2 linked regions of the Schizosaccharomyces pombe genome follow. The protein of the gene in region 1 interacts with the protein of each later gene in a pairwise test. Each region holds a gene or a part of one and is shown on either strand. Other genes may lie near its edges.

The links.
Region 2: the proteins of SPOM_SPBC800.12C (region 1) and get4 interact in a two-hybrid assay, tested with the Schizosaccharomyces pombe proteins (one large-scale study listed by BioGRID).

Annotation. Positions count from the first base shown.
Region 1 is NC_003423.3:277,114-280,609, reverse strand, and holds SPOM_SPBC800.12C (ubiquitin family protein), read left to right. Parts: upstream 1-1,834; 5' UTR 1,835-1,851; coding exon 1,852-1,959; exon of another isoform or gene 1,960-2,016; coding exon 2,017-2,080; exon of another isoform or gene 2,081-2,121; coding exon 2,122-2,363; 3' UTR 2,364-2,669; downstream 2,670-3,496. Other genes in the region: centromere receptor protein cnp20, read right to left, coding at 1-946.
Region 2 is NC_003421.2:589,398-593,803, reverse strand, and holds get4 (protein Get4), read left to right. Parts: upstream 1-2,053; 5' UTR 2,054-2,149; coding exon 2,150-2,181; intron 2,182-2,228; coding exon 2,229-2,282; exon of another isoform or gene 2,283-2,321; coding exon 2,322-2,482; exon of another isoform or gene 2,483-2,545; coding exon 2,546-2,621; exon of another isoform or gene 2,622-2,736; coding exon 2,737-2,807; intron 2,808-2,852; coding exon 2,853-3,238; intron 3,239-3,303; exon of another isoform or gene 3,304-3,346; coding exon 3,347-3,478; 3' UTR 3,479-3,734; downstream 3,735-4,406. Other genes in the region: exocyst complex subunit Sec15, read right to left, coding at 1-972, 1,013-1,451, 1,551-1,670, 1,718-1,879, 1,920-1,952; SPOM_SPCC1672.11C (P-type ATPase P5 type), read left to right, coding at 3,951-4,406. UniProt on the Schizosaccharomyces pombe protein: May play a role in insertion of tail-anchored proteins into the endoplasmic reticulum membrane.

The sequences.
Region 1 (3,496 bases):
CTTCCATCAATTCTCTTTCATTGTATGCTTTTTCACCAAATTCCTGAATTGGATCGGCTGGGAAAGTATTTTCGCGCCTTAAAATCTCAAGGCTGGCGCGTTTAGAAGGTAACTCAGATAATCGAGAAGAGAGAGATGATTGACGGGATCTGGAAGCTCTTGAAGAGTAAGATGGTTCATCTTCTAAAATGTCCGGGCCTAAATTAAAAATGGGACTTTGATATTGGTTCAGGGTCGCAACATGGCGTTGGAGAGGTGTACCGTCATCCATGTCATCTGTTTCATAATCACTTAAAGGAATGCGAAAAATAGGAACTTCGTCATTTTTTAAATCTATGAGTCGATTACTAGAAGCGGTACTTAACGCGCTTTCTTGAACTTGGTCAATATTATTTTCTAATCGTTTTTCTGAGATTAGAGAATCACGAATATTACTGACACGCCTTCCATCTGGTGTAAAAAAGTCGCTAAGGCGCTGTGGAGCACGCCTTGGAGCTTCGATGGATTGTATCGTCAGATTTGCATCGCTAGTGTCGGTACCTGGAGATTGGGAATTCCTTTGTTTAGCATCATTTTTTAAAGTCCGACGCTTATTCGAAGACAATCTTGGTGTCTTTTGAGACTTTTGACTATTAGTTTGTGGAGTATGTCGTCGCTCGGAGGATTCTGATTCAGCTGGTGATGGTACTGGATTTTTTGCCAGCGCACGACTGAGCATTCTGAGAATGTCTCTAGGAGTTGTTGCGGAAAACACATTGCTCCTTCTCCTTGCTAGACTATTCCTGCGTGCAAGAGCTCTCCGTTTATGAGGAGTAACAGTCCGTTGAGCAGAACGTGGAGTATACCTGCTTCTAGAGGGGGTAAAATGCCGTCGCTGAGAAAGTGTACCAACTAAATGTTGAAAGGAAGAGCTCTTGAGTGGCGTCTCATAATTGTGAGAAGCCATTGTAAGCGTGATTGATTAGAAATGTAGGTTGAGTGAATATATGTATACCATGCTACCTATACAGCGATTTGGAGTTTTTGATAAATATTAAGGAGAAATAAACAATAATAATCAATCCTTTTAAAAAACAAATGATTCGAACAAGACGATTTCAGGGCTGATTAAAGATTATGGCTCTAGTAAGGTTGGTTATATCATCTTTCTAATTAGTATACAACTACTTCACACTTTACTTGCTTAAGTTCTAATCTGTCTGTCTTTATATACGCATCTTTTCTAAAACTGCTCCATAGCAATCTTATCTAAAAACATGAAGGAATACAACCTCTTTTAAAAAATCGAAGTAAAACGCAAAGATACTTTATGTGCCTATGAAATAAGATGAAAGCATGAAATGAACAATTAAACTATTTAGCTTTATTGTTTGCTATAATGATAAGCAAAACATTTAGGGAAACAATATTTAAAAACTACTAAACTCTTAACTTTCAGAAACTTGTATGGATAGTATTTGCAACAGCAACTTTATTAACAATGCAAAGATTTCTTATGACTTTAATAATTTATTTAACAGTAAATTTTTAAAATCATAATTATTATTCTTTTTGACAATTCTGAGTAAACTACGTTCGCGAGGTTGTAAAGCTTAAGGCATGAAATAGACGAAGTTATAGAATACTTTATGTTGAACTTGAGCGCTATTACATCAAGGATTTGGACTCTTAAATTTGTCGGTTAGCAGCATTGTAACATAATTATCAAAAACTGAACGTCAGATTTGATGTGTTGTTTGTCAAAGTTGGAACTAATGGCATTTTGTATGATATTTGTTTCGAGATTTTCTCTTTAGTGGTTTTAGGACACTTGATAATTAGCTTGAGTAAACTTGACATTCCACCATCACCATGAGCGAGGTACAAATTGTTAAATCGTTTCTAGAAGAGCTTTCAAAGACCCCTAGGAATCACCCTGATAGTATTCCAATTGAAAAAATAGATGAAACTGCTATTTCGGTGCGTAATAATGATTCTTGTTTCACAAATATGCTATTGAAACTAATAGTTTTATAGATCACTATTCCTGCTCCACTGGTCGAGTTTCAAGGAAATTTAGCTTTGTTCGAGGAAAAGAAAGGTAAATTCTGCTTAAATAACTACTTTTAACTAAAAATCTAGTTCATGTTGTTGCGAAAACTGTCCGACCTCCCATTCAACAAGCATCTACTGAAATAAATGTACAGTCTACAATTTTGGAGCTTAAAGAAGTTTTAGCATCTCAGTTATCTACGCAACCTTCCTCTATCCGTTTGATGTACAAAGGCAAACCTCTTGTCAACTCCAGACTTCTAGATGACTATGTGGATGCCGACAGTGTCTCTGAAGTTAATCTTCAAATGTTTCTAATGAATATTTCTTAAATGACTTGTTTCATGTTGGTATTTACCTATATTAGTTTTTCTCCTATTTTTTGATTAGGAAAGTATTCGACGTCAGACACTTATAAAAAATGAAGTGTGTCATTACATACTTATTATGAAAGTTATAGTTATAACTATTACAGCTTTTCTTTGTGTAATTCGCTCTATACTTTCTCAGTTTTGCATATCTGGGATTTTTATGTTTCCCTTTTTATGCAAGACGCCGGCAAGTAAAATCTAATTTAAAACAAAAATCGAAAGAGCATAGTCAGTAAATAATGTAACAGACATTTTTTTTTTCTTGAATTCCGTACTATAGAAAAGTCAAATTGTATTTATTTATTGTTAACATTTTTCTTTAAAATTCGTATTTAAGCGCCCGTATTTCTTTCATAATTGCGCCCTATACCTCATAAAAAAAGCATAATAATTATAATTTTAAGCTAAATTTATTTCCTTCAACATGTTATATAGAATTGTATATTGATTTTGTCAATGGTTGAAAATTATCCCAAAAGTACAATGTTAAAAGTTTAGCTATTATTTTTTTTGGGATGTAGACTGCATTCATATGTAAAATTTAGCCTTAAAAGTTGAGGGGGTCGTATTTTTGTTTTTTTAAAAAAGGTGACTGATCATGTCCATTTCTCTTTTTTTATGACTTTAATCACCAAAAAAAATAAAAAATAAAAAAATGAATATCAAAAGTTTATACTGGCAAGCATAACTTTTTTTAGAACGATTAGTCGCTCAATAATTTGAGGCATTTGAAAATTAGCCCGTCCTTTTCAAAGGATTTATTCTCTTCATTTTATATTTCTAATTGGATTCTACTTTTCGAGAGCGGATAAAACCATTCATATGTAATGAATGAACAAGGATCTACGTTTGTAAAATAATAGTTTGCATTATTAAACTATTTAATTTTTAATAAATCTTATTAAATATCGATGTACGAACATTCATCTATTAAATGACAGAATACGTAAACTAGTATTTTGGTTTCACGCTAAAATGAATTATCGAAATTCTTTTGTGTATTGTTCAATTTAAAAAATATACCAATTACAAACGAGCGATTATCGGTCTGAGGTTTAAAGGAATAAATATAAATAGATATAACCTCTGGTATT
Region 2 (4,406 bases), on another chromosome or scaffold:
ACTTTCGTGCATTCGCTAAACCTTCAAGTAATTCAGTTGATTTAACATTATTACTAGAAGAGGCTTCCGCACCAATCTGGTGTATAGGCTTATTTAAAACGAGGCTTTTCTCTATTTGTAACAAAGGATCTTCAAATGCGTAAAAGTTTTTAACAAGTTGAGACATTTGAGAAAGTGCAAGTTTTGGATATAAACTCTTCAATCTATCAACAAGGCTTCGAAGAATAAACCTTCTATAGAATCGTGGTGCCTTTTCATTAACTTCGGTAGCCAATATGACAGAATCATTTAAGAACATGAAGAAATGACGGACAAATTTAGAAAGAGTTGTGCAACATAGTGGGCACATCTTTGAAAAGCTCATTGTTCTTGGGAAGGGTTCAGAGGGGAAGTTCCAATAGGGCGCTATATAATGGTCATATTCCTCCTGTGTCTCAACGATCATGGGAGCATACACATCCTTTTCAAACGCCTCTTCAAAGAACACAGAATGCTTCAATATAAGGGCTCCACCAAAAGCATCAATAAGCTCGACACATAAGTTCCGCAAACTTTCAACGGAAAACCCAAATCTCTCCATGGTATGCATAAGCAAAACAATTTGATTTTTCAGTTTTATTATTGTAGTGGTACTTTGCTCTGTAAACGCAACACTTAAAATTGTTTCGACCAACTTTTCACAAATAATAGTCCAAATGTTTTGAACTTCTTCGTAAGAGCGAAAATTGGGTATACACTGTAATATGTAGTACTCAACTATCATAAACCCAGCAATAGAATTTAACCATTCGCTGACAACAGCCATGTCTAGCGTGGTCAGACTTTTAGGCGCTAAAAACTCTTGTTGGCGTCTCCTATCTCGCTCAAATGAGGAACGGAAAGAGCTGAGCAAGCCCAAATAAGAATGAACTTGCAAGCATATATATAAAGGTTCAAAGCTAATCTTGACGATCTCGTTATCTAAGGGAGAAACTGAAAATGTTAACAAAACAGAAACAAAACGTAAACATACAATCCATCATTTCAAGCAAATATAGTTCTAGGGAAATTGAGGTTTTGGAGCTTAGGTTAACCAAATCCTCTTTGTATTCCCTAGCCCATCGTCTTCTGGCTTCATCAATTTGCTGTGAGCATGATTTACCAACTAAAGGTAGTTTTTGTCTAATGCTGAAAAGCCATTCATGCAGGTCTTCCATAACAGCGCTACATATAGCTTCCTTGGTAGTGACAATGTATTGTTGGATGGTAGAATACATCCCCAATCCATCTAAACGTTTTAAATGCACTTCGCTTATTTCTGAGCAAATTCTGAGTGTAGGAAGATACTGCTTTTTACTCAATAACTCTTGAGAGTACTGAACCTGATGCAACACTTGCATACAGCTCCTCACTAAATTATGATATTTTGTAAGAAATCTCTCGGATGTGCTTAGAGAATTTAATTGTTGTTTCTGATACAATTGTTAGTTTTCTGCGTAATCAAAATTCAAGAATTTAATCAAGCTCAATTTCTTCAAGTTGAAAGAGCCACGCTTAATATAATTGCTCACCATATTTTGTAAATCACGACCGCTAGCTTGAATGTCAGTGTTCAGGTCGGCCATTAAAGATTGCAAACTACGAAGTTCGGACCGAACTACAGATAACTGGTTTACCGATTTGCTAAAATCCTAATAATTGTAAGATTATACCTTAGGGAAACAGGAGACTAGCATACCTGGTTGTTTTCAGCAGAGAGCTGTTCAACGCGTATCGCGCTTTTGCTGGCCAATTCATTTAGCCGTTCATAAACTTGAGTCTCTTGTCCTTTTTCACACGCCAAGCTAATTAATTGGGGCAACCGATCTAAGGTGTCACCGGCAGATTCGATTGAAGCAATCTACCAATTTATCAATTACAACTCAGCAGTATTCTCTTACCTTATCTACAAACTCCAAGACATCTATATCCATCCTTTGAAATACATTGAAAGATGAAATACACAATTTCAACTGTAGTAGGTAGTTTCGCTAAAATAGGTATATACGGGGATGGGCAGGACCACTTGCTCCCTGAGACAACACTTAGTGCGAGAAGCGTTAAATAGCAATTCACGTTTACTCAGTTTTTTTACGCTTATTTTTATTTTTCTTTATAAATAATAAACAATATGGACGCAAAAATCAAGCGAGCCGAAGGAAGGTAATGAATTACGAATATTGATGAAGGTATTATTATTGACAATTTAGATTACGAGAGGATCCCTATGAAGGTCACCAAATGCTTCGCACTCTAGTAAATAGGTAGGTTGTTTGTTATTGATCAATGAATAACCGAGCAAGACAGGTGAAAGCTAAGAAACACGACGATGCAGTTGCATTGCTATATTCGGGCGCTAAAACATTATTTGAAATCGAGCAAACCGGAAGTGCCGCAGACCTAGCGATATACATGCTAGATGTTTATGAAAAAGCTTCATATGCTGCCTCTCTTGACAACAAAGGTATGCTAGTCACATCAGCTAATTTTAACTCTGATTTTTAAACTTCATTATACTAATTCACAGCCCGAGCTTTGACTCTTTTGGGACTTTTTCCTGCCGAAGAAGGTGCAAGGAAGCAATACGTTAAAAGGCTTTTAGAGTAAGTGCCTATTTATCTGTATGGATTATATATGGACGGCGTGAATGATAACGATCGATTCTTCGCCCTTTTATCCTACATACTGTCTTTTTTTTTACTTACTAATGATGAATAGATGGAGCAAATCTGCCGGTCCTCAAGGAGACAAGGACGTTCACTTTGCGGTAGCTACTATGTTTGTAAAATGTACGAACTTTTCGTAATCTGCTTTGCTTTTAACACATAATATAGGGAAAGAACCCGCTAGCGCTGAGAAGCACTTTGTTCTCGGAAATGAAAAGAGCGCCCGCGCATATGGTGAAACAATGTACTATTGGTTTACGTCGGATTCTTCGATCAGTCCTGATACGTTTGCTGGAAGACCTGTTTTAAATTATCTTTTGGCAGAAAACCTAATTTCTGCTTGGAACTCACTAGAGACATTTACCAAGCATTTTACTAAATCGAATGCGCCTGATGTTGAGAACATGAGTTTCGATGGTAAAGATTTTCCTGTTTTTAAAGAGTATCCCCAGATGAATTTCTTACATTTACTTATTTTTACGGCATATCGCAAAGATAAAGAGACATATCTTTCATTGGTACAAAAGTATCCTAAAAAGCAAGATTGGGAAGCTGTACGTTACATTTATAAGAAAAATGTTTCTTTTTTTCATATATATATTTACATATTAGCATTTTTTCTTATTTCTAAAGTGTTTTGCTAACAAATTTTTTTACTACAGGCCTTAGCAAAGATTGAAGAAATCTACTTTGGAATTCGCCCTGTTAGCAATCAACCAAACATTCTAGCCAATCTTATGAGCTCCTTGTTTTCTGGTCCTCCCGCAGCCACAAACCAGTTGGATTTGGAGTAAAAGCAACTGGATGTTATTCAAGTTTACGTGTCGCAGACATTATAATTGATGCATAAAGTTTACGAAATTGATATTAAAGATGATAAATTTGTTTTTCAGTCGTAAAAGAAATATATAAATTCCTAGAAAATGGTTTTCATTGAAGGGACAAGTGAAATAAGTATTCTCGGTAACGCGAGAGACATGTTTACGAGCAGCCTTCTTCTAATTTATAGAAAATACTTCCTTAGCAGATCAATAAAAAAAATTACTTCTATTAAAGCAAATACTTCTTATTGTTCTATTTACTTATGATTGTAAAGTTCTCACCTTTTGTTGTAGCAATCTTCGTAATGTGTGATTCCGTAGCTCAGTATTTTCGAACGCTCTTCATGGGTTACCTATTCACTACCACCATCCTGCAATCTCATAGTAAATTAGTTTTAATCAATAATTTAGGGAGATTGAAGGGGTTTTTAGTGGAGAAATCATTATGGCATCTCCGAAGATGATAAGAAGCAAGAGGTCAACATCCTCAATTGCTTCAAAAAATTCGTTAAATTCGTATTTGGCATCATCATTGATGAGCCATGATAGTATTTTCGATGGCCCTGGGTTAGGAACTAGCATTCCGTCTAGTGTCTCAAGCTTTCATCATCAAACTTTAAGGCCCTCTTCGGATGCCAGCGTAAGCCAATTTAGCATGGACTATCTACAGTCGGAATACAATCTTAATCGGTATAATGATGGGGAGTCTATAGCTGCTAGTAGGGATTACCAGAGTTTGCTTCGTGATAATGGCTCAGGTGTTTATAGTGATGAGGAGGAAATAACAGAAATGATGTTAGAAGAGTTGAATATACATCCGGTCTTACGTAGAGAATCTGTAGGAGAAGCTGCTGGATTGAGTGAAGACGGTTGCTGTCAAATTTTGTACCTTGTGGAAGAA